Linked DNA regions of Xenopus tropicalis. The protein of the gene in region 1 binds, or shares a complex with, the protein of each later gene. Links are inferred from orthologs where the notes say so. Each region holds a gene or a part of one and is shown in the gene's direction. Other genes may lie near its edges.

The links.
Region 2: the proteins of gpsm2 (region 1) and insc are in contact, whole or in part, in a crystal structure (PDB 3RO3), measured with the Mus musculus proteins. The link is inferred for Xenopus tropicalis from reciprocal best matches to the Homo sapiens genes GPSM2 and INSC. Residues at the interface, in NP_083798.2 of Mus musculus: Asn210, Tyr213, Leu214, Phe218, Arg242, Ser246, Asn247, Asn250, Ile253, Phe254, Tyr265, Gln283, Tyr286, Ser287, Asn290, Thr291, Thr293, Leu294, Arg323, Trp326, Ser327, Asn330; in XP_006507722.1 of Mus musculus: Val72, Asp73, Ser74, Val75, Arg77, Trp78, Met79, Asp81, Leu82, Lys83, Leu84, Met85, Thr86, Glu87.
Region 3: the proteins of gpsm2 (region 1) and numa1 are in contact, whole or in part, in a crystal structure (PDB 6HC2), measured with the Homo sapiens proteins. The link is inferred for Xenopus tropicalis from reciprocal best matches to the Homo sapiens genes GPSM2 and NUMA1. Residues at the interface, in NP_001307967.1 of Homo sapiens: Ala28, Leu29, Glu32, Cys35, Lys36, Phe47, Lys59, Thr60, Ser62, Ala63, Ile64, Ser66, Gln67, Asn70, Ala71, Phe73, Asn110, Lys113, Tyr146, His153, Lys157, Pro164, Gln165, Arg203, Gly206, Asn207, Asn210, Tyr213, Leu214, Arg228; in NP_006176.2 of Homo sapiens: Ser1901, Phe1902, Tyr1903, Met1904, Gly1905, Thr1906, Cys1907, Gln1908, Asp1909, Glu1910, Pro1911, Glu1912, Leu1914, Asp1916, Trp1917, Asn1918, Arg1919, Ile1920, Ala1921, Leu1923.
Region 4: the proteins of gpsm2 (region 1) and frmpd4 are in contact, whole or in part, in a crystal structure (PDB 4WND), measured with the Homo sapiens proteins. The link is inferred for Xenopus tropicalis from reciprocal best matches to the Homo sapiens genes GPSM2 and FRMPD4. Residues at the interface, in NP_001307967.1 of Homo sapiens: Leu25, Ala28, Leu29, Glu32, Asp57, Lys59, Thr60, Ser62, Ala63, Ile64, Ser66, Gln67, Asn70, Phe73, Tyr74, His85, Asp88, Ala92, Gly100, Lys103, Asn107, Asn110, Thr111, Lys113, His128, Arg143, Tyr146, Asn147, Asn150, His153; in NP_055543.2 of Homo sapiens: Gln988, Leu989, Leu990, His991, Ser992, His994, Met995, Glu996, Met997, Glu998, Pro999, Glu1000, Thr1001, Met1002, Glu1003, Thr1004, Lys1005, Ser1006, Val1007, Thr1008, Asp1009, Tyr1010, Phe1011, Ser1012.

Annotation. Positions count from the first base shown.
Region 1 is NC_030680.2:112,002,076-112,007,205, reverse strand, and holds the start of gpsm2 (G-protein-signaling modulator 2), read left to right. Parts: upstream 1-2,071; 5' UTR 2,072-2,364; intron 2,365-2,999; exon of another isoform or gene 3,000-3,057; intron 3,058-3,562; exon of another isoform or gene 3,563-3,618; coding exon of another isoform or gene 3,619-3,656; intron 3,657-5,130. UniProt on the Homo sapiens protein: Plays an important role in mitotic spindle pole organization via its interaction with NUMA1. Required for cortical dynein-dynactin complex recruitment during metaphase. Plays a role in metaphase spindle orientation.
Region 2 is NC_030680.2:3,252,403-3,257,523, reverse strand, and holds the start of insc (protein inscuteable homolog), read left to right. Parts: upstream 1-2,025; 5' UTR 2,026-2,321; intron 2,322-5,121. UniProt on the Homo sapiens protein: May function as an adapter linking the Par3 complex to the GPSM1/GPSM2 complex. Involved in spindle orientation during mitosis. May regulate cell proliferation and differentiation in the developing nervous system.
Region 3 is NC_030678.2:178,876,096-178,880,556, forward strand, and holds part of numa1 (nuclear mitotic apparatus protein 1), read left to right. Parts: intron 1-839; coding exon 840-1,095; intron 1,096-1,510; coding exon 1,511-1,787; intron 1,788-1,940; coding exon 1,941-2,077; intron 2,078-2,526; coding exon 2,527-2,754; intron 2,755-2,845; coding exon 2,846-2,950; intron 2,951-3,307; coding exon 3,308-3,556; intron 3,557-3,919; coding exon 3,920-3,943; intron 3,944-4,461. UniProt on the Homo sapiens protein: Microtubule (MT)-binding protein that plays a role in the formation and maintenance of the spindle poles and the alignement and the segregation of chromosomes during mitotic cell division.
Region 4 is NC_030678.2:106,369,650-106,374,828, reverse strand, and holds the start of frmpd4 (FERM and PDZ domain-containing protein 4), read left to right. Parts: upstream 1-1,866; 5' UTR 1,867-2,226; coding exon 2,227-2,267; intron 2,268-5,179. UniProt on the Homo sapiens protein: Positive regulator of dendritic spine morphogenesis and density. Required for the maintenance of excitatory synaptic transmission. Binds phosphatidylinositol 4,5-bisphosphate.

The DNA of each region.
Region 1 (5,130 bases):
AGATTTGAGAGCTGACGTCAGCTGGGAAGTGTATTCAGAGCCACAGCTAGGGCTGAAGTTCAGACAGGGGAGACTTTGCAGAGGTTATATGAGCAACTGGTTTTTATTACACACACAATTTTAAATCAGATTTCTAGAGCCTTAACTTATTGTTTGTGATAAGTAGATGGGGCAGGGAGGCAGTATCAGAAGTATTGGTTGCTTTATATGTTACTCTGTATGTCCAATGTATAAAACCCACTTATTGTACAGCGCTGCGGAATATGTTGGCACTTTATAAATAAATGTTAATAATAATTAAAAGACAATCCATTTACAAAGAAGAGATTGTTACTGCTGTGGCAGTGTTTGCAAAAAAAAAAAAGCACTTTAGAGTATTAAGAAAAACTTAATACTCTAAAAATAAGGGAGCTGATCACTTCATCTATAAATGCATTGAGTTCTGACCCTATAACAAGGCGAGCGGTCTCCACTCAGACCTGGATGACTGGGGGGAGGTGGGAAAGCAGGGTTGGACTGGGAGGTGCATGGCCCACTGGGTGCACACACCCCAGGGGCCCCTTATGCCCACCCAACCCCCTCTCCCCCGCATTATACTTAACTTCAACATGATCAGGGGAGGGAGATCAGTGGGAGAATGCCGACAGGGATCAGGTCTGGGTTGGCAGGTTTCTTCCTGGTTCCCCCCGGCCCAGTCCGACTCTGTGGAAGAGAACCTCTATTTCCCACTGATAAATTCTAGTGATAGGCTAATCCAAATAAAAATTATACATCAAACCTATCCAACACCCAAGAAACTGCATTTAATGGGTCAGTCTGAACATCAGATGCCTTTTCTGCAATAACCCTGACACCGACTAGTATGGTACTGTCCGGCCATCCAGAGATTCTGGCGACAAGTTACGCACTTCTTCTCAGATGAACTCTCCTTACCGCTAGTTTTAAACCCAATGACCTGTTTGTCGGGCTTTGTTTATTATTTGATACCCATGAAAACTTGTAGACTACTTATAAGGGCTGTGACAGACGGGGAGATTAGTCGCTGCTACAAATCTCCCTTGTCGCGGGCGACTAATCTCCCCGAAATGCCATCCCACTGGCTACAATTATTAGCGAAACGTGAAAAACGACGAGTAGGTCATTTCACATTCTCTTTTCTCCTAAATCAGCCATCCTTTCCTCTCTCAACAGTGTATGTATATATATATTTATATAGTGCTACTTATGTACTCAGTGCTGTACAGTAGAACAATAAATTAATAAAACAAACGGGGTTTTTAAAATAATAATAGATAAATACAAGGTACAGAAGATTCAAAGAGACAAGCGGATGGAGGTCCCTGCCCCGTAGAACTTACAATCTAAGTGAAAAACCTGACCCTTGTATGCACAAAAATCAAGTACCTCAAAGTACAAATATACTAAATGTGATTTCATTTCTCCCAGCCCCAGTTTGCACGAAATCGCTTTTACTTTTTTGGTCAAATTGGAAGCTCAGACTCGCACGGAAACAGGTTGCGTTGGCAACAAGGACACGTCTTTATTTTTTGGCAGAAGTTGAAACACCAAAAGCAGAGTCTATTGTGAAAGCGGGAATTGCTGTAAACTACCAAGAAAATAAATTGTTTTATTCTCCTTCCCCGGCACTAGAAAAGCTGCGAAAACGAAAAAGGCAATCTCTGACGGTGAAACAAGTGGGAGCGAACAAACAGCGGGGTCAGTATGCGGGCTAGCATTGGGCAATGAGATTCTAGTGGCAGCGGCCACAGCTAGCAACCAACACAAAACACACAGTCTCGTTACTTCCTAGCAAAAGCATAAGCTGCACAGAAAATAAAAGATTGTGACCGGACGCCCAAAGCCTACTGCAACCAGCACAGCCTACACAACGCTCCTCTCCCGGCCTACACAACGCTCCTCTCCCGGCCTACACAACGCTCCTCTCCCGGCCTACACAACGCTCCTCTCCCGGCCTACACAACGCTACTCTCCTAGCCTTGCGCGCCGCTGGTATACTATACTTGTGGTGTGACGTCACGCTCTCGCGAGATGAGACCTGAGTGTGGGGAGGAGCTATACGGGAGGGGAGGAGCTGTACGGGAGGAGTCAGGGAGCTACATGTTAACGGCTCTGCGGGACTTTTAAACAGCGACCCGGGATTGTGGGCTACTGGCTCTGTTAAGAAAATCGGAAGTGTCCCCGGATTATTGTGCGGCATGCAGGCTGGCTGGGTATGCTGGGAGCCGTAATATAACTGGGACGATCTGCAGCTCTCTGTGTCATTAGTTCCTTCAGCCTCGTCCTTGGAACGGAGTCACGCAGCGAGATTCCCGGGGCTACAGCTCAGATACACCTGGAGCCGAGGTTAGTCCCTCACAGCGGTCTGTGCTGAATGCGATGGGACACTCATGCTTCCTATTGAGCTACTTAGTAGCTTCCTATTGTAGCCAGTGGGGACGTGTTGCCTCTACTCTCTGCTACATGTACAGTTGTGATGGGAATTGTATGCCCTGCATTCTCTTGCATGTGTGTAAGACCCAGCATCACCCAGTTTGCCCATATATATTACAGTTGAACTGGATCGTACCTCATGACTTGTAGGAGTCACTGAGAGTGAATGAGGGAGCCAGTACTTGCTGTGTGATCCTGTTGCCAGGGGATACAGCTGCTCCAGCAAGATGCATTTTTGGGATTCACTTGTTGTACTGACATTACAAAATGATGATATCTGCATCCTCATTAAGTCTGAACCTGAATGTCTCCTGAGTCACTTTCTGTTCATAGTCATCATCATCATAGCTGGGTGCAGCAGCCTATCTATACACATAGGTGTGGGGCTTGGCTTCACCCTGCTGATTCAAGCTAAATGTTTAATGTAAGCATTTACTTCAGACTTCTCATCATCCCTTGAACATAATATTATACAGGGGTAAATGTTGTAGTTTACCTTATTGGGGCATGGTTACAAACCATAACTTTGTTTCTTTGTTTTTCTTCAGTGCGGCTTTTCTGCACCCTGTAACCAGGAAAGCTGTAAAACCAAGGCAGCCCCAAAAGGTATTTACTTTATTGGTGATTGTGTTAGTAAAATATATCGCACAATACTCTGCAGTTATGAGTATAATATGGCATTGCAAATCATTCTTTGAAAGAACTCGGACCTTATTGTCTTGTCCCACTATTCTTGCTGCCTTTCGGATCTATGTACACTCTTTGTTTTTGTTCGATTTTTGCTGGTTGACCAGAGCATCCTTGTTTCCAAAGTCGTTAACGTCCATTAAAATGAACTGAGAAATGGTTGATGAACCCAATACAGTGGTGTCTAGTTTAGCTCAGAGCAATTTATAGCCATGTCACACTGGTAGCTTGTGTTCAACAAATGAACTGAAACCAAAATTTGGCTCAAATGTGACAAATGGCCACATGGGACTGTCAACTGGCTTGTCTAGCCAGCTATATTTTCCCAGCAGCAAAAGTCACTGGTAGGAAAAAACAAACGGCTGTTTGTACTATGGGGGGGCAATACAAATTGTAACACCTTAACCCATAGCTGCATTGTCTGGCTGTATTTAACATCCCAGCAGCTTTATTCCTCTGTCAGTCAGCATTGAGATCCTGATGAGTGCCTGCCTCTCCTCTGTCACAGTCTCTAACAGGTAAGACCAGTGCATTTGCTGTGCCTCTCTTGAACAGATGATTTTATGGTTCAGAAAGTGGGCACAAGTTACTTGTGTGACATAAACTGTGAATTCAGAATCTAATCCTACGCTAATTAATAACCTGGTGAACGAAAGAACTTTAACTCCTTTGAATAACTTGGACAAATATGATACATTTGTATTTAGTAGATTGAAATGTTTTAGTAATATATAATATGTGAATGTTGGTGAGACTATGCAAGCAGGAAGTTTGACCTAATCTTTCCTACCGTACTACTATGAATAAACTTTATGACAGATTTTTTTTTTCTAATAAGAACAGGTTTTTCCTGCTCTCGGAAATACATTTCATTATCGTTTGGGGCAGATTTTGACATGGCCACCACACAAGCCTTGGATATAGGATTTAGTAGCTAGGGTTATGGACAAAGTTTGCTTCAGTTTAGCAATAAAAATCAAATGTTTGCTAGCCTTTTTCTAAATTTACAATCCAGGCTTCACTTGATTTTCTTTTTAAACTTGAATACATGGATTTACCAAGGTCTTTATATAGCTTTAGGTATTCTAACCACCATGCTTAAGGGTATGTTTGTACTGGAAAAAGAGAACTTTGTTTTTGTGAAGACTGCGTCATCTCTTTCTTCAAGTCTTCTCTGAAATGGATTGTCAAGTATCAGTCTTGTCAATGCCTTTAACTGATAAGTAAGCCTTTATCACAAAAGCCCCTAAAAAGACTCCATACAAAACTCTAGAAAAAAAAATAGGTTTACTAATTCTATAACAATAATATTACCTATAACTCAGAACTACTTTCCCCTGACTGAACTCGTAATTATATCCTTATGCTTCTTTACACAATAAGTTGTCTCTAATTTCTTTCTGTCCTCCCTTTTTTAGCTGGTTTCTAAGTTCCTCATAGTTCTCCCCAGGGGGTATTAAGGTGGCCATACACATACCAATTACGATCTTTCCTGCAAATATAGGGCATGGTGGGACTGACCTGCAGACTGTGTATTTACAGAAGTGTGCATTCATATTGGCTTCTGTAAAAATGTTTTCTCTTGTGGCAGGCATTGATGTGCATTATATAAAATTTACACATCTGGCTGCAAACATTTTCTAGGTCCAAAGGACACTTCTTTGTTCTTACCTTCCTCAATTTACTATCTGCATTTGATAAAGAATAGACCCTTTTCTTCTTATGCAAAAGTTAAATTCTCTTGATATCCATAATAAAGCTACATCCTGGTTTCCTTTTTTTTTTTTTTTTTTTTTTTAACCTTTCTATCTTTGTCTAGTACATGAACATAAACTTGTCACTGTACCCCTGAGTCTGGGAGCTATTAAAGGCCCTTTACTCAGCTCGCTTTTGCACTCCCTATACATTATATATTTAGTAAACCTGAAACATTAAATTGGCTTTAAAGGGGTAGTTCACTTTCCTAACTTTTTTTTTCAGTTTCATTCCATA
Region 2 (5,121 bases), about 110 Mb from region 1:
CCATGAAGACCAATTGCAATCTGTGCACTGTCAGTTCTCACTCATGACTTCTAATAGACATTTCCCATGAAGACCAATTGCAATCTGTGCACTGTCAGTTCTCACTCATGACTTCTAATAGACATTTCCCATGCAGACCAATTGCAATCTGTGCACTGTCAGTTCTCACTCATGACTTCTAATAGACATTTCCCATGCAGACCAATTGCAATCTGTGCACTGTCAGTTCTCACTCATGACTTCTAATAGACATTTCCCATGCAGACCAATTGCAATCTGCGCACTGCCAGTTCTCACTCATGACTTCTAATAGACATTTCCCATGCAGACCAATTGCAATCTGTGCACTGTCAGTTCTCACTCATGACTTCTAATAGACATTTCCCATGAAGACCAATTGCAATCTGCGCACTGTCAGTTCTCACTCATAACTTCTAATAGACATTTCCCATGCAGACCAATTGCAATCTGCGCACTGTCAGTTCTCACTCATGACTTCTAATAGACATTTCCCATGAAGACCAATTGCAATCTGTGCACTGTCACTTCTCACTCATAACTTCTAATAGACATTTCCCATGAAGACCAATTGCAATCTGTGCACTGTCAGTTCTCACTCATGACTTCTAATAGACATTTCCCATGAAGACCAATTGCAATCTGTCAGTTCTCGCTCATGACTTCTAATAGACATTTCCCATGAAGACCAATTGCAATCTGTGCACTGTCAGTTCTCACTCATGACTTCTAATAGACATTTCCCATGAAGACCAATTGCAATCTGTGCACTGTCAGTTCTCACTCATGACTTCTAATAGACATTTCCCATGCAGACCAATTGCAGTCAGTGCACTGTCAGTTCTCACTCATGACTTCTAATAGACATTTCCCATGAAGACCAATTGCAATCTGCGCACTGTCAGTTCTCACTCATGACTTCTAATAGACATTTCCCATGAAGACCAATTGCAATCTGTGCACTGTCAGTTCTCACTCATGACTTCTAATAGACATTTCCCATGCAGACCAATTGCAGTCAGTGCACTGTCAGTTCTCACTCATGACTTCTAATAGACATTTCCCATGAAGACCAATTGCAATCTGTGCACTGTCAGTTCTCACTCATGACTTCTAATAGACATTTCCCATGAAGACCAATTGCAATCTGTGCACTGTCAGTTCTCACTCATGACTTCTAATAGACATTTCCCATGCAGACCAATTGCAGTCAGTGCACTGTCAGTTCTCACTCATGACTTCTAATAGACATTTCCCATGAAGACCAATTGCAATCTGCGCACTGCCAGTTCTCACTCATGACTTCTAATAGACATTTCCCATGCAGACCAATTGCAATCTGCGCACTGTCAGTTCTCACTCATGACTTCTAATAGACATTTCCCATGAAGACCAATTGCAATCTGTGCACTGTCAGTTCTCACTCATGACTTCTAATAGACATTTCCCATGAAGACCAATTGCAATCTGTGCACTGTCAGTTCTCACTCATGACTTCTAATAGACATTTCCCATGCAGACCAATTGCAATCTGCGCACTGTCAGTTCTCACTCATGACTTCTAATAGACATTTCCCATGAAGACCAATTGCAATCTGTGCACTGTCAGTTCTCACTCATGACTTCTAACAGACAACTCCCGGGGACATGAGGAAGGAATGAACATCAGCTGGAGTTTTACAGGCTGGAATGTGTCTCCAAGGCTCTGGGAGTGTTTATAGGGAAAAGCCGCAGGATTGCACCTCCCTGAAAGGAAAATAACCCCTTGGGGGGGGGGGGCAGAATTTCAAGACAGGAAAGTTTTATGGAATGTTCCGCCCGGCAAAGAGCTGGAATTTCTATGGGAAACACCTGCCCTGGGCTCTGTAGGTTCCATATCTCCTGCCCCGGGGGTTGTTAGACTCTTCCAGCCTATCCCATGGTGCAAAGTGTTCCCCCCCCCTCCCGGCACAAAATTGCTGAATTATTATTATTTTACTTGGCCTTTTCCCCCCCCCCCCCCGTTGGTCTCTAATTTCACTCCTCAAAGCCCGACCAACGGGCGCTCGTTAGGGGCCCCCGCCGCCAGTCTGCTTCTGTGCGAGGGCCGGACAGAAATAGAACCAACCGAGTGGCTGTTATTGGCCGGGGGCCCGAGCCCAACTGTCAGCCAAACTATGCGCCAGAGGTTTTTTTGATGGGCAGAGCGGCTGCGACTGGGGAGTAAATGTTACAAAAGGGGCTTTTTGTTATCCCGGCCGAGCAGCGAGGGAAGCGGAGGAGCAGCTCCGGCTGAGGATTTGGGGGCCCCCCTGTAACTCTACGTAAGTACAAATCTCATAGCAGATGAACTAAAGCGTCGGGGGGGGGGGGGTCTGGGAAGCACAAATGGTGTTTATTTAGAGATATTCTGAGACACTTTGCAATTGGTCTTCATTTTTTCTTTATTTGGGTTATTTCGCTTTGGCGTTTCAGCAGCTGTGGGGTTGCTAGGGTCCGAACAATCCTAGCAACCAAGCAGGGGTGCGAGTGAGACATTAGGATATGAATAGGGGAGGGACTGGATAGAAATATAAGGAATAAAAAGTAACAGTAACAATAAAACTGGAGCCTCACAGAGCAATAGGGTTTGGCTGCCGGGGTCAGTTATCCTGTTGCTAGGGCTCCAATTACCTTAGCAACCACAGAGTGATTTGAATGAGACACAGGAATATGAATAGGGGAGGAGCTGAATAGAAAGATAAGGAATAAAAAGTAACAATAATAATAAAACTGGAGCCTCACAGAGCAATAGGGTTTGGCTGCCGGGGTCAGTTATCCTGTTGCTAGGGCTCCAATTACCTTAGCAACCACAGAGTGGTTTGAATGAGACACAGGAATATGAATAGGGGAGGGGCTGAATAGAAAGATAAGGAATAAAAAGTAACAATAACAATAAAACTGGAGCCTCACAGAGCAATAGAAAGCATTTGAAAGCTGCAAAGATAATGAAGACCAATTGAAAAGTTGCTAATTCTATAACATACTCAAAGTTAATTTGAAGGGGAACCACCTCTTTCAGTAAACTTTTAGTATGTAATAGAATTAGCAACTTTTCAATTGGTCTTCATTAATTATTTTTGTATGTTTTTTTTTTTTATTATTTAAGTAAATAAAAAAATAATAAGTCAGCCTTCTGCTCACTCATTGTAGCTTTCAAATGGGGGTCACTGACCCCGGCAGCCAAACCCTATTGCTCTGTGAGGCTCCAGTTTTATTGTTATTGTTACTTTTTATTCCTTATCTTTCTATTCAGCCCCTCTCCTATTCATATTCCTATGTCTCATTCAAACTGCTCCCTGGTTGCTAAGGTAATTTGGACACTAGCAACCAGATAGCTGCTGAAATACCAAACTGGAAAGCTGCCGAACAAAAAGTGAAATAATTAAAAAAACTACAATTAATAAAAAAAATGAAGACCAATTGCAATTTGTCTCAGTATATTACTCTTTATATCATTCTAAGAGTTAACTCAAAGGTAAACAAGCCCTGTAATAGTCAATCCCTGCACATTCACTAACTGGATTGGAGGCGGGGGGATCGACCCCCATTACTCACCGAGCTCTGCCTTTTAAAAAAAATTGTGAGAGTAATTGCGCCGTTTATTGGTCGGTTTGGGTCAGACGGGACGTGTGTGACACTGAGATGAGGTTTTTTCTGATACAAAATGCACTTGAGGTTTAAAGAAATGTTATTAGAATTATTATGAACAATTTCATTCCCTAAAACTGCTTTGTAGAAAAACACAGAGTGGCAGCACTAGGTAGGTACCTAATATATAGGGGCAGAGACAGGGGAAAGTGTTGGAAGGGTTACTGCCTGCCCTGCTCTCATTTCCCTACAGAAATAGGGGTTGGTAGCACTAGGTAGGTACCTAATATATAGGGGCAGAGACAGGGGAAAGTGTTGGAAGGGTTACTGCCTGCCCTGCTCTCATTTCCCTACAGAAATAGGGGTTGGTAGCACTAGGTAGGTACCTAATATATAGGGGCAGAGACAGGGGAAAGTGTTGGAAGGGTTACTGCCTGCCCTGCTCTCATTTCCCTACAGAAATAGGGGTTGGTAGCACTAGGTAGGTACCTAATATATAGGGGCAGAGACAGGGGAAAGTGTTGGAAGGGTTACTGCCTGCTCTGCTCTCATTTCCCTACAGAAATAGGGGTTGGTAGCACTAGGTAGGTACCTAATATATAGGGGCAGAGACAGGGGAAAGTGTTGGAAGGGTTACTGCCTGCCCTGCTCTCATTTCCCTACAGAAATAGGGGTTGGTAGCACTAGGTAGGTACCTAATATATAGGGGCAGAGACAGGGGAAAGTGTTGGAAGGGTTACTGCCTGCCCTGCTCTCATTTCCCTACAGAAATAGGGGTTGGTAGCACTAGGTAGGTACCTAATATATAGGGGCAGAGACAGGGGAAAGTGTTGGAAGGGTTACTGCCTGCCCTGCTCTCATTTCCCTACAGAAATAGGGGTTGGTAGCACTAGGTAGGTACCTAATATATAGGGGCAGAGACAGGGGAAAGTGTTGGAAGGGTTACTGCCTGCCCTGCTCTCATTTCCCTACAGAAACATTATATGAGTGATTACAGTCAGTAGGTGGGTAATACAATATGTATATATACAGTATATATACAGAAACTTGTTTCTATTTCCTATAAAAGCCATTTCAGGTCAAGTGTTTCACTTCTAAAATATGTTGGTAGAGACATCAGTGTTTTAAATGTTTCTGGGAAAGAAGCTGCGGTTTTGCCCATAATAACATGTTCTTTACGCGACTAAAGGGAACCTAAAACTTAACAAAGGAATGCTGCACATTATGTTTTAGGCTTCTGTTCCAGCCCCAAAGTACAGCTGTGCTGCTGAAAATGCCACCAGTAGCCCCCCATCTTCTTTCTCATGGGCTGCTATGGTGCCTATAGTAAGCTAGGGAACCACTCACTATACAGTATATACACACTATAACGGGCCCACTATACAGTATATACACTATAACGGGCCCACTAAACAGTATATATACACTATAACGGGCACACTATACAGTATATACACTATAACGGGCCCACTATACAGTATATATACACTATAA
Region 3 (4,461 bases), on another chromosome or scaffold:
TCCTTGACTAAGAGAAACAGGGAGATATGTGCCAGCGTGAAAGTAAATCTTATTCATTAAAATTTACACCATCTAGTGATGCACCCGGTCCCTTCAGATGTAGCTTCTGCTCCGAGCACACCCTGGGGTGTTAGCTTCTGGGGAACCCTTTATGCTTCCCTACTTTGCCTTCTTTCCAGTAGTCCTGGATGGCCCCTCGGGCCCTGTGTAACTGCTAATAGCAGTCCTCCCTCCCTATTATTCTATTACTCGAGACCTGCAGCACTGCTACTTTACTAATGTGATAAAGGCAGTCGGATTGTAAGCTGTACAGGGCAGAAACCTGCAGCCAGGTCCGGACTGGGATTCATAATGGGCCCCGTCATTTAATGTACACAGAGGCCCAATAATAGTGAGTGTCTGGCATCTTACAGCAGCCCTTATGGCATTTGCCAGAACCCACAGCTTGTCAGTCCGGGCCTGGCTACAGCTTCATATGTCTCTCTGAATGTGGCATTTATTGTGACTATATTTATGTAATGCTGGTTCCTCCTGTCTGTACTGTTTTGTATGCAGTGCAGCAGATACTGACATTATATAGTAGCCAAATAAACAAATAGGAATATGTACAAGACACTTGGCTGGCTGAGTCTTGCAGCTAGGGGGCAGTAAAGCATTGGAGCAATAGCTCATCTTTCTGCACACCCAAATCTGCCGTTAAAGCAAGGATAGAACATAAGTTCATTTGAGCAGAGATGCATTTTAGACATGAAAAGCTGATCAATTTTCAAAAACAAATGCTGTGTGTGTCCCTGACCCACCAGAAATGTACCCTAATATATGCATTTTATTTATCACAGTAAGAATGGCCGCTGCAACGAGGAACCTGCCACATCGTCAGTACATGCCAGCAGCATGGAGTCTCCTACCACAGGCCAACTGCCCAAAAAGGTGGAGTCTCTGGAAAGCCTCTACTTCACACCTATTCCAACCCGGGCACAGTCCAAACTGGAAAGTAGCCTTGGTTCCATTGGGGACCTGTCCCTAGACTCCAGCAAGAAAACGCGGTCTGCAAGGAGACGCACCACCCAGATCATTAACATCACAATGACCAAGGTAAGGAGAAAGTGTCGGCGTGGGGGGAATCGGGGGCTTTGAGTCAGGGAGCAGAGCAGTTGCCAATGTGGGGCCCAGAAGTCACCATGGTGACAGTCAGCATGGGAGATAGTGGCACTTTGTAGCTTATGTCCAATGCCACATCCTGGGGGCCGAGCCATCTCCATTTGGTCTGGGAGCCCTAGGAACAGCCCTCACTGAGAACTGGATTAGTTTCAAACATACTGGCTGCCATATTGGAGATTCCATACCTCAAACCAATCATTGCTCAGGTCACTGCTTCTTGTGTTCCCCCAGATGGAGATATTGGTCAGTGCCGAGGGTTCTTACATTGATATTTCTCCTAATGTTATTGGGAAAGAATTCATGTCTTGAGTAGGGTGTCCATTAAATTTGCATTATGGTTTCATTTCAGAAGACAAAGGAGGAACCGGAAGCAGAGAGTGCCAACACGTCATTCTACAGCCTGCGCTCCGCTCCGTCCTATCAGAGTCTCCACCAGCAGAAGCCCCGGAGGCCTGGGCGTCCTCAGGCAGCGGTTTCTGCCCCAGCCCTGGCCAGCCTCCCATCCCAGGAATCCCTGGCCAAGACAGAACAGTTCTCTGATGACAGCTTTAATAACTCCGTATTGATGAATTTACCTGGTTACCGACCCCCCACGCGTAGATCTGCAAGGCTTTCACAAACTGGAGGTAGTTGCCTGTTCCCTTACGTGCCTGATGTGTAGTCTGTTCTCTATAGCCCCCTTACAGAACTCACTCCAACAGCTCTGTATGCTTCCCCCATACCTGCACCCTGTGTGTGATAACAACCCCGCAGCCTCAGCCCCATGTTGTTCCTTTCAGGCCGAAGCAGTTTCTACATGAGCACGTGCCAGGATGAGCCAGACCCACAGGAAGACTGGAACCGGATCGCTGAGTTGCAGGCCCGGAACAAGGCCTGCCCACCCCACCTCAAGACTTCCTACCCACTGGAGTCCAGGGTGCGTATCTGTTCTATTGCACAAGTACTGGGCATATCTTTAGCTGCACGGCTGCTGTCTTTGGGTAGGGGTAGAGCATCCCTAGGGTTAAGGCCCCCCCATACACGGGCCGATTCTAGCTGCCGATATGGGTCCCTTAGACCAATTCGGCAGCTAATCGGCCCGTGTATGGGCACTTCCGATGGGCCTGCCCGACTGATATCTGTCCTGAAATCGGCCAGATCTCGATCGGGCAGGCTAGAAAATCTTTACCTATGCCCGTCGTAAATCCTGTAGGTGGGGGTATCGGGAGAAGATCGGCAAGGAAGCAGATCTGCCAGTGTATGGGGACCTTTAATACCAATGGGAGTGCGAGACTTGATTGCTTGGATCAGCACTGTGTGTCGCAAGAGTTTTTAGGGCAATTTATCAAGTTAATTGTTAAACTAAAACACACAATCCATTTTCAGCCGTCACTCTTAAGCTCCACCATTACCGATGAAGAGGTCAAGTTGGGAGACCCTAAAGAGACGCTCAGGAGAGCCACCATGCTGCCCTCCCAGATACAAGAGTCCACAGGCAGTACCCGCAGAATGAGCTTGGCTGCCTCTGAACATATGAGGGGACCCAGCATCAGCACCAGGCAGCAGATGAAGCGCGTGTCCGAGGAGTCTCACCTTGGCCCAGACACCCCAGAAGTGAGCAGCTTTGCCATTCCATGTTTGTACTTGGGCTAAAGGGCTAGTGGCTCTGCTGCTCTATAGAACTAACTTTCCGTATTACTTACAGGCCAAGAAGTCTGCCACTTGCTTTCCTCGGCCCATGACCCCAAAGGATAAACACGACGCACGCAGATTGTCCACTGTGGAAAGCAAAGGAAACTCCAGCCATCAGGTGAGCTGCTAATTCTCATGCATTTACCAACCATTATACACCATCTTGTGTGCGCTGAGTCCCAGGGGACAGGCCATTGCTCTCACGTTCCCAGGGATGGAGGGCAGCGCCACTGTCCCTATAAACCAATGAAATCAGGGCAGCGCCACTGTCCCTATAAACCAATGAAATCAGGGCAGCGCCACTGTCCCTATAAACCAATGAAATCAGGGCAGCGCCACTGTCCCTATAAACCAATGAAATCAGGGCAGCAACGGATGAAGTTAGGGGTTTGTCACTGTTTGTACCAATAATACTGCAGTGCCATAAAGCGGTATGTTCATATGAATTTCACACAGTCTTTTGCTCCCGTTTCAGCAGGCGCAGCCCACTCGCCGTCAGTCTACAGCATTTAGCATTTTCAACACCCCCAGAAAGCTGGGCAACAGCCTCCTGAAGAGAGGCCTCAACAAGAAAACGACTCCCAAAAATAGCCCCCGGGGGCGGGGGGCAAGTGGCAGCGCCGGCAGCACTTCAGGCAAATCCCCGCACCGCTCTCTCCGGAAGTCACCCAGCAGGCGGTCTCCGAGGGCCTCCACTGCAAAGTCCCCCAAAGCTTCAACCAAGGTCGGTATCGGGATGGGGGGTAGATCTGCTGTCATGTGCTCCTCAGCCTGGGCGGAGCTACACTGAGTCGATACTGGCACGGAAATGTAAAAATATGTATTTTTGCCCAATATCCTCTCCGTGTAGCCCCACACAGGCCATAATGCTGTGCCTGTCGATGGAGCCGTCGGTATACAGATATATAATCCTACTGAATGAGATCATGTCAGCCAGGTGTATAGTTACCCTTTAATATCTGGGGAAGCAGTCAGTGCGGTGTATCGGCAGTTGTCTGATCTTTGCCCCTGAATGTGATGACACAGGGCAGTATTGTGGGGCACAATTTGCTTTCAGGTACCAATAATGTTCTCTGATCCCTCTCAGGTGGGGCAGGAGCTGCAGATACAGGTAGGTGTTGCCTGTGGGTGTGGCCGGGGAGGGGTAGCTGCACAGGTGCATTGCTGTCTGTCCTGCAGTCTCGTACATCTGTAGGGTGGATTTGTTCCCTGTCCTGATATTTCTGCCCTTCCTGTTCTCCTCTTTGCTTCTTGGGGTGTCCTTTTTAGTGGGTTCTCCTGCACTGGTTTCGGGTCCCATCAGCACCTGGGAAGGGGCAGCCATTACGGCCGGGATCTTTGCTGCTCAAATACTGACCCCCATTGTGCCAGCGGAAGCTTCACGTACAGCTAGCAAACATGGGGTTCCCAATGGGCCAATCACAGAGCAGGAATAGTGTTGTTATTGCATAAGGGGCGGTACAGCCTTTCCTCTCCTGCTCCATAACATTGGCACGAGAGACCTGTTCATAGAGGAACCGCCTGATTGGTGCACATTTGCCCAACTTCCCCTGTCTGTATATGTGATAAAGAGCTTCCTGCCTCTTACAGTTTGTCTGCCCCCCCCCGGCTTGTGGCTCTTGGAACTAT
Region 4 (5,179 bases), on another chromosome or scaffold:
ATTTTGTAGAAGTCTCAAAGCATTTGGCCTCAACAACCATAGATTGCTTGGTTTGAGCTGTGTAAGCTATACTTATCTGTTTGAGTGCCTGCCAATTGTAGATCTAGATTGACTAAAAATATAGACAAACTGCCCCCATTTGTATTTATGGAATGCAGTCGTTTTAGCAATTCATTTTCCAAATCTTTATGAGTTAGATCTATTTCATTTCACCAAAAATATCCTATTTCTGGTTTTGACTAAAACTATAAATACGCTTTGTTTTGTCAAAACTGGCAGAGAATTCAAATAGGAAATACTGTAGTACAGGTACAGGATTCATTTTCCAGAATGCTTGGGACCTGGGATTTTCTGGATAAGGGATCTTTCCATAATTTCGATCACCATATTTTGTCTGGTAAAAAAAAACATTTAAACATTAAATAAAGCCAATAGGATTCTTTTGCCAGTATGGCAGTGATACTGACACTAAAAAATTACTTTTCAAAATATTAATTTACATTAAAAGTTGCCTATAGGTTGTGTACCTATAGGCAACTTTTAATGTAAATTAATATTTTGAAAAGTAATTTTTTAGTGTCAGTATCACTTTAAGTGCTCTGAATAGAAACAAAGCAGAATTTATACAAACTGAGTTTGTATAAGGGGCAGATTTATCAAATTGTGAGTTTAGAGCTTAATAAATAAACCTCACCCACATTCTATTCATTCCTATGGGATTTTTAGAAGCGTATTTGTCAAATGGTGAATTCTAACTTTCACCCATTGATAAATACACTTCTAATAATCGGATTCTAATTCTAACAGAATGTGGGTTATTTTTTAAGCATTAAGCACCAAACTCAAATTTTGATAAATCTGCTCCTTAGAGGTTGATTTATCACAAATTGTATTTTTGTGGTTTTCTTTTTTTTATAAATTGAAAAAAAATTCAAACTAGAAAATCTTGAATGTGTGCTAATTTATTAAATTAAACTTGAATTTCAAAAACTTGATCATGGAGAAACAGGAAAGAAACTAACATTTTCAATGTTTCCAAATTTCAAATTCATATAAACTCCCATTGACTTTTACAAGAACTGTTAATATTCCACTTTTTTGCACTTATAATAAATCTCAAATTATAGTTTTGAAAACTCATATTTACATTTAAAATTTTTGCCACAAAAAACTTGAAATGCGGTACAAAGTCAAATTTGAATATCGATAAATATGCTCCAAATTCTTGGAGACAAATGATTTAATTAAACTGAAAATTTAATATTGCTATTGTGTTCTTTCATGGCATTAATGCATGGGTCCAATTGCAAGAGATGAACGGTATACAGTTAATGAGGCACAATAAGTATTTTTGCCACATAGCTTGCATTCTGGAGCCTGGGAAGCAACAATATACAGTAAGGCATTATAGAAATAAATAAGCCTATTTTTTGTATTGTCTTAACAATAAACTGTATATATTCTGTCCATGGAAGGTTTGCCTATTTAAAATGAAAGGGGAATTATACATAAAATATGTTATCAATTTAAATGAGACATTGTAGGTACTTTTAGTGAAACCGTAGGACTTCTCAAAATATTTTGTTCTAAGGATTTACCAGCCATTCTTTTGATTGCATAATTCAATAATGTTTAATGTAAGACCACCAATGAAGGAAAGCTTTTAATTCCCATATACGCCAGTATGGCTTGTAAATTTATCAGCAGGTATGTTCCCCAGCAGCTGTTGAATGATATGAAAAGATTTGAGGCGCAGAAGGCAATAGTATGAGCATTATGCAGAGGAAGAGGTGATTTACTGCGTATCTAAAGCTTTCCTTCTTTCTGTATGCTGCTTCACTGCTTGCACACAGCCTGTTCCTGCCACCTCCCCCCTCCTTGTTTCTCTTTCACTGGCTGGGATCAGCAGTCTTCAATGAAGAAATCTGAGCAAATATGCTTACAGGAGCTACAGGGAGACAATCAAAGCAACATAAAATAGCATGTATTAAAGTGAGTGTGCGGTAGGGTGATAGAAGAATAGCTGTCGTTGAACTGCATCTTTAAAATTCATTTTGGCTGGATAAAGAAATACAGCGATGCTTCTTATCAGTGATTCATTCCCAAACTGCAGAACTGGGATGATATTGTGCTGCATTCTGATGTAGAAAGCCTATATTTACTTAAACCAGTGATAACATCAGGTTGCTCTGTGAATGAAGAAACAAAGCAAGCGGAGCTGCATGCATGGACGTGTTTGGGTTTGGAAAGATAGCAAAGCTGTCCAGGTAAGTTTTGCACTTACAGGCTATGAACGGGGAGCATGTGTGTCCAGTACCACTGTACCTCTTTAAAACCAGGAGGGGGAGGGGGTGAATAAGGTATGCAATCTGCAGGGAAAATATTGGCAGAGGGTCCTGCTAGACAGCACTGTTCACTGGTGGTCTGTGTTTTGTATAGCCTGTCTGAACTATTGCAATCATCTGAGAATACTGCCACAGAAGCTACAGATTGTTTGATATGCCGGGGCATAGGTAGAGTAATGGAAGCTGCACAGTGCACCGTTATCTCTAATTAGAAAAGCTGCTTCTTGCTAAAAACCAGTTCCATAGTGTCTGAAAATCCTGTTTCATGTATTTCATGAATGTGTTTCACCTTTACCACTGGACCACTGGTTGCATAGCAATATAGATTCTAAAATGGGTGCATAACTGGATATAGTTATCTGTCCACACTTGTGTGTATATATATATATGTATACAATTATATTTCTAATTATATTTTCTAATTTGCTGCAATAATTCTTAATAACTGTTGTAGAGTATTTCTTTTGTTTTAGTGCATCTAAGTATATATAATGGAGTTAAAATACTGGATTGAGCAGTGAGCAATACTTTATTTTTATTAAAAAATGTTTGCCAGCAACCCATTCATGCAGAAGTGATGTTAGTGTTGTACTACACAGATAACTTTATTGCACCCATCCTGTCTGGAAACAGGGACAGGTATTTGTGTTCTGGTTGCCAAAAAAGGCATTTTCCTTATTTTTTTTACTGATTCACAACAAAACATTTTTTATGTAAAGGCACCCTCTGGTTAGGGGTGTCCAAATAGGGAGTCAGCTGTAGATCTGGAGCTGGTAACCACTAGATCACGTGAGCTAGCAGTGTCTACAGACCCTTCTGTATACTTCCCATTATTCAGATTTGTAAAACAATTGATTTAGAAATGGGTGCATTTTGTTTAAATACAATGCTTTCTATTTTCCAGGACTATAATACAAAAAGTAACATTTATCATAGCAGCGTAACATAGGAGGTGGTAGACCATGTAATAACTTCACTACAATTAGACCCCATATCAGTAAGTCTGGGCACCCTTGATTTCCACTATCACCATGGATACATTTGTTCAAATACCTTAAGTATGTCTGCATATGCTGAGAGATTGAAGAATTAATTCACCTGGACATTCATAGCCCTGCTAAGGCTGGGCAAATTATCATCTGGGCAGCAACCTATAGCAATCAGTGATTTGCTTTTCTCAGACAGCTGTAGGAAAAACAAAGACAGCACAAATGTTATTTGTGCATAAGTGTTCCTGCACTAGAGCCAACAAACCCTTTGTTTGCAAATGATTCCCACTATTCACCCACTTCATTAAAAAAATCTATTAAGCTTCATAAAGCCATTAAATCTGTGACTAAGTTCTCCAAGTATTGTATTTGAATAATTTTAAAGTCTTTATAGGCACTGTATGTGTTTCTGTCAGTATGTGGCATAGTCCTTTGCCAAGCTGGTACCACTTTTGCTTCAATAGGCACCAGACAGGGTCTCATTTGAGTGTATGTTATCTTGTAGGTTTCAGTGTATTGTGTCGAAGAGCAGTTACTAAGGTACAGCAAAGGCCATGCAGTGAGTTTGAAACATTTTGTGTTTTGTTCTCTATTAGAAAACTGACTGTGTATTTACATTTATGAGAGATAAGTGCTGCATTCTATTACTGGCATGTCAAATCACATTGTCTTAATTAGATGGCATTTTTAAAATAAATTGAAACAATAAAGCTGAACCTGCTTTGCTGTTAAGACCCCGTGTGATCTGTCATCAAGAAATCAGCAGCTTTAGCAATGTTTTTTCTGAAATGTGGAAAACAAAAGTGCTTTAGTTGCAGGATTTTCCTGATTTCTATGTCGATAATCCTCCTAAAGGATTTAGCTTTGATCACAACATCTATGTAGTAGTGCTTCACATGTAATGGTTTGCTTTGTGCCCTGCTTTGTTTCCCCACAGTGGTTAAGGATCAGGATAATTGTGATCAAGAATCTGTGGCCTGTCATTAACTTTTGTGCCCAGTTACCATTTGCCATTTTACAAGAACCAAGGCAAGGAATCAAACTGGTTTTATGTTTACAGGAAAATTCAGCAGCCTTGACCGAATGTTTTGGAAATTATTAGAAAACTATAATCAGATCTACAATTGTATTGGCCTAAGTGGCACGACTGACTAAAATAAGGTTTGCCAAAGGCTCAAGGAAAGCTATCATACAGCATTTCATCCTACTAGCCCAGTGGTTCTCAACCTTCCTAATGCCGTGACCCTTTAATACAGTTCCTCATGTTGTGGTGACCCCCAACCATAAAATTATTCCCAAGACCATCGGAAATATGTGTTTTCTGATGGTCTTAGGTGACCCTTGTGAAAGGGTCGACCCCCGAAGGAGTCCCAACCCACAGGTTGAGAACGCTGTACTAGCCTTAAGGTTAAGTCAACATCCATAACATAAATGAAGTGTTTATGAAATTTCATGTTATATCGGGCGCAATGTTTGTTCAGTTATAGTAACCAATAACAACTAATTAATAGGCAGCTTTTACTGATCTACTCTTTGAAAGCTAATGCCTGGCTGTTATGAGTCACTAGACCTAAAGCAAAGTTTGTGCATGTTATTATATTACCCCCTAAATAAGTTATTGCTTGGAAGTAGTACATTAGCATTGAATTGTTTCTCAGGGAAGGCTAATTTAATTACATCTTCTTGTAGTTATGACAGATCAGTTGTAGGAATCAGAGTTAAATGCAGGCAAAGCACATTTACATGGAGAGGGTTAGGGTGTTAAAATAAGTCATCTGAATTCTACAGTGAGGCTCATGTGAATTTCAAAGGTAGAATTAGTTCTGGAATCCTACAAGTGGCAGT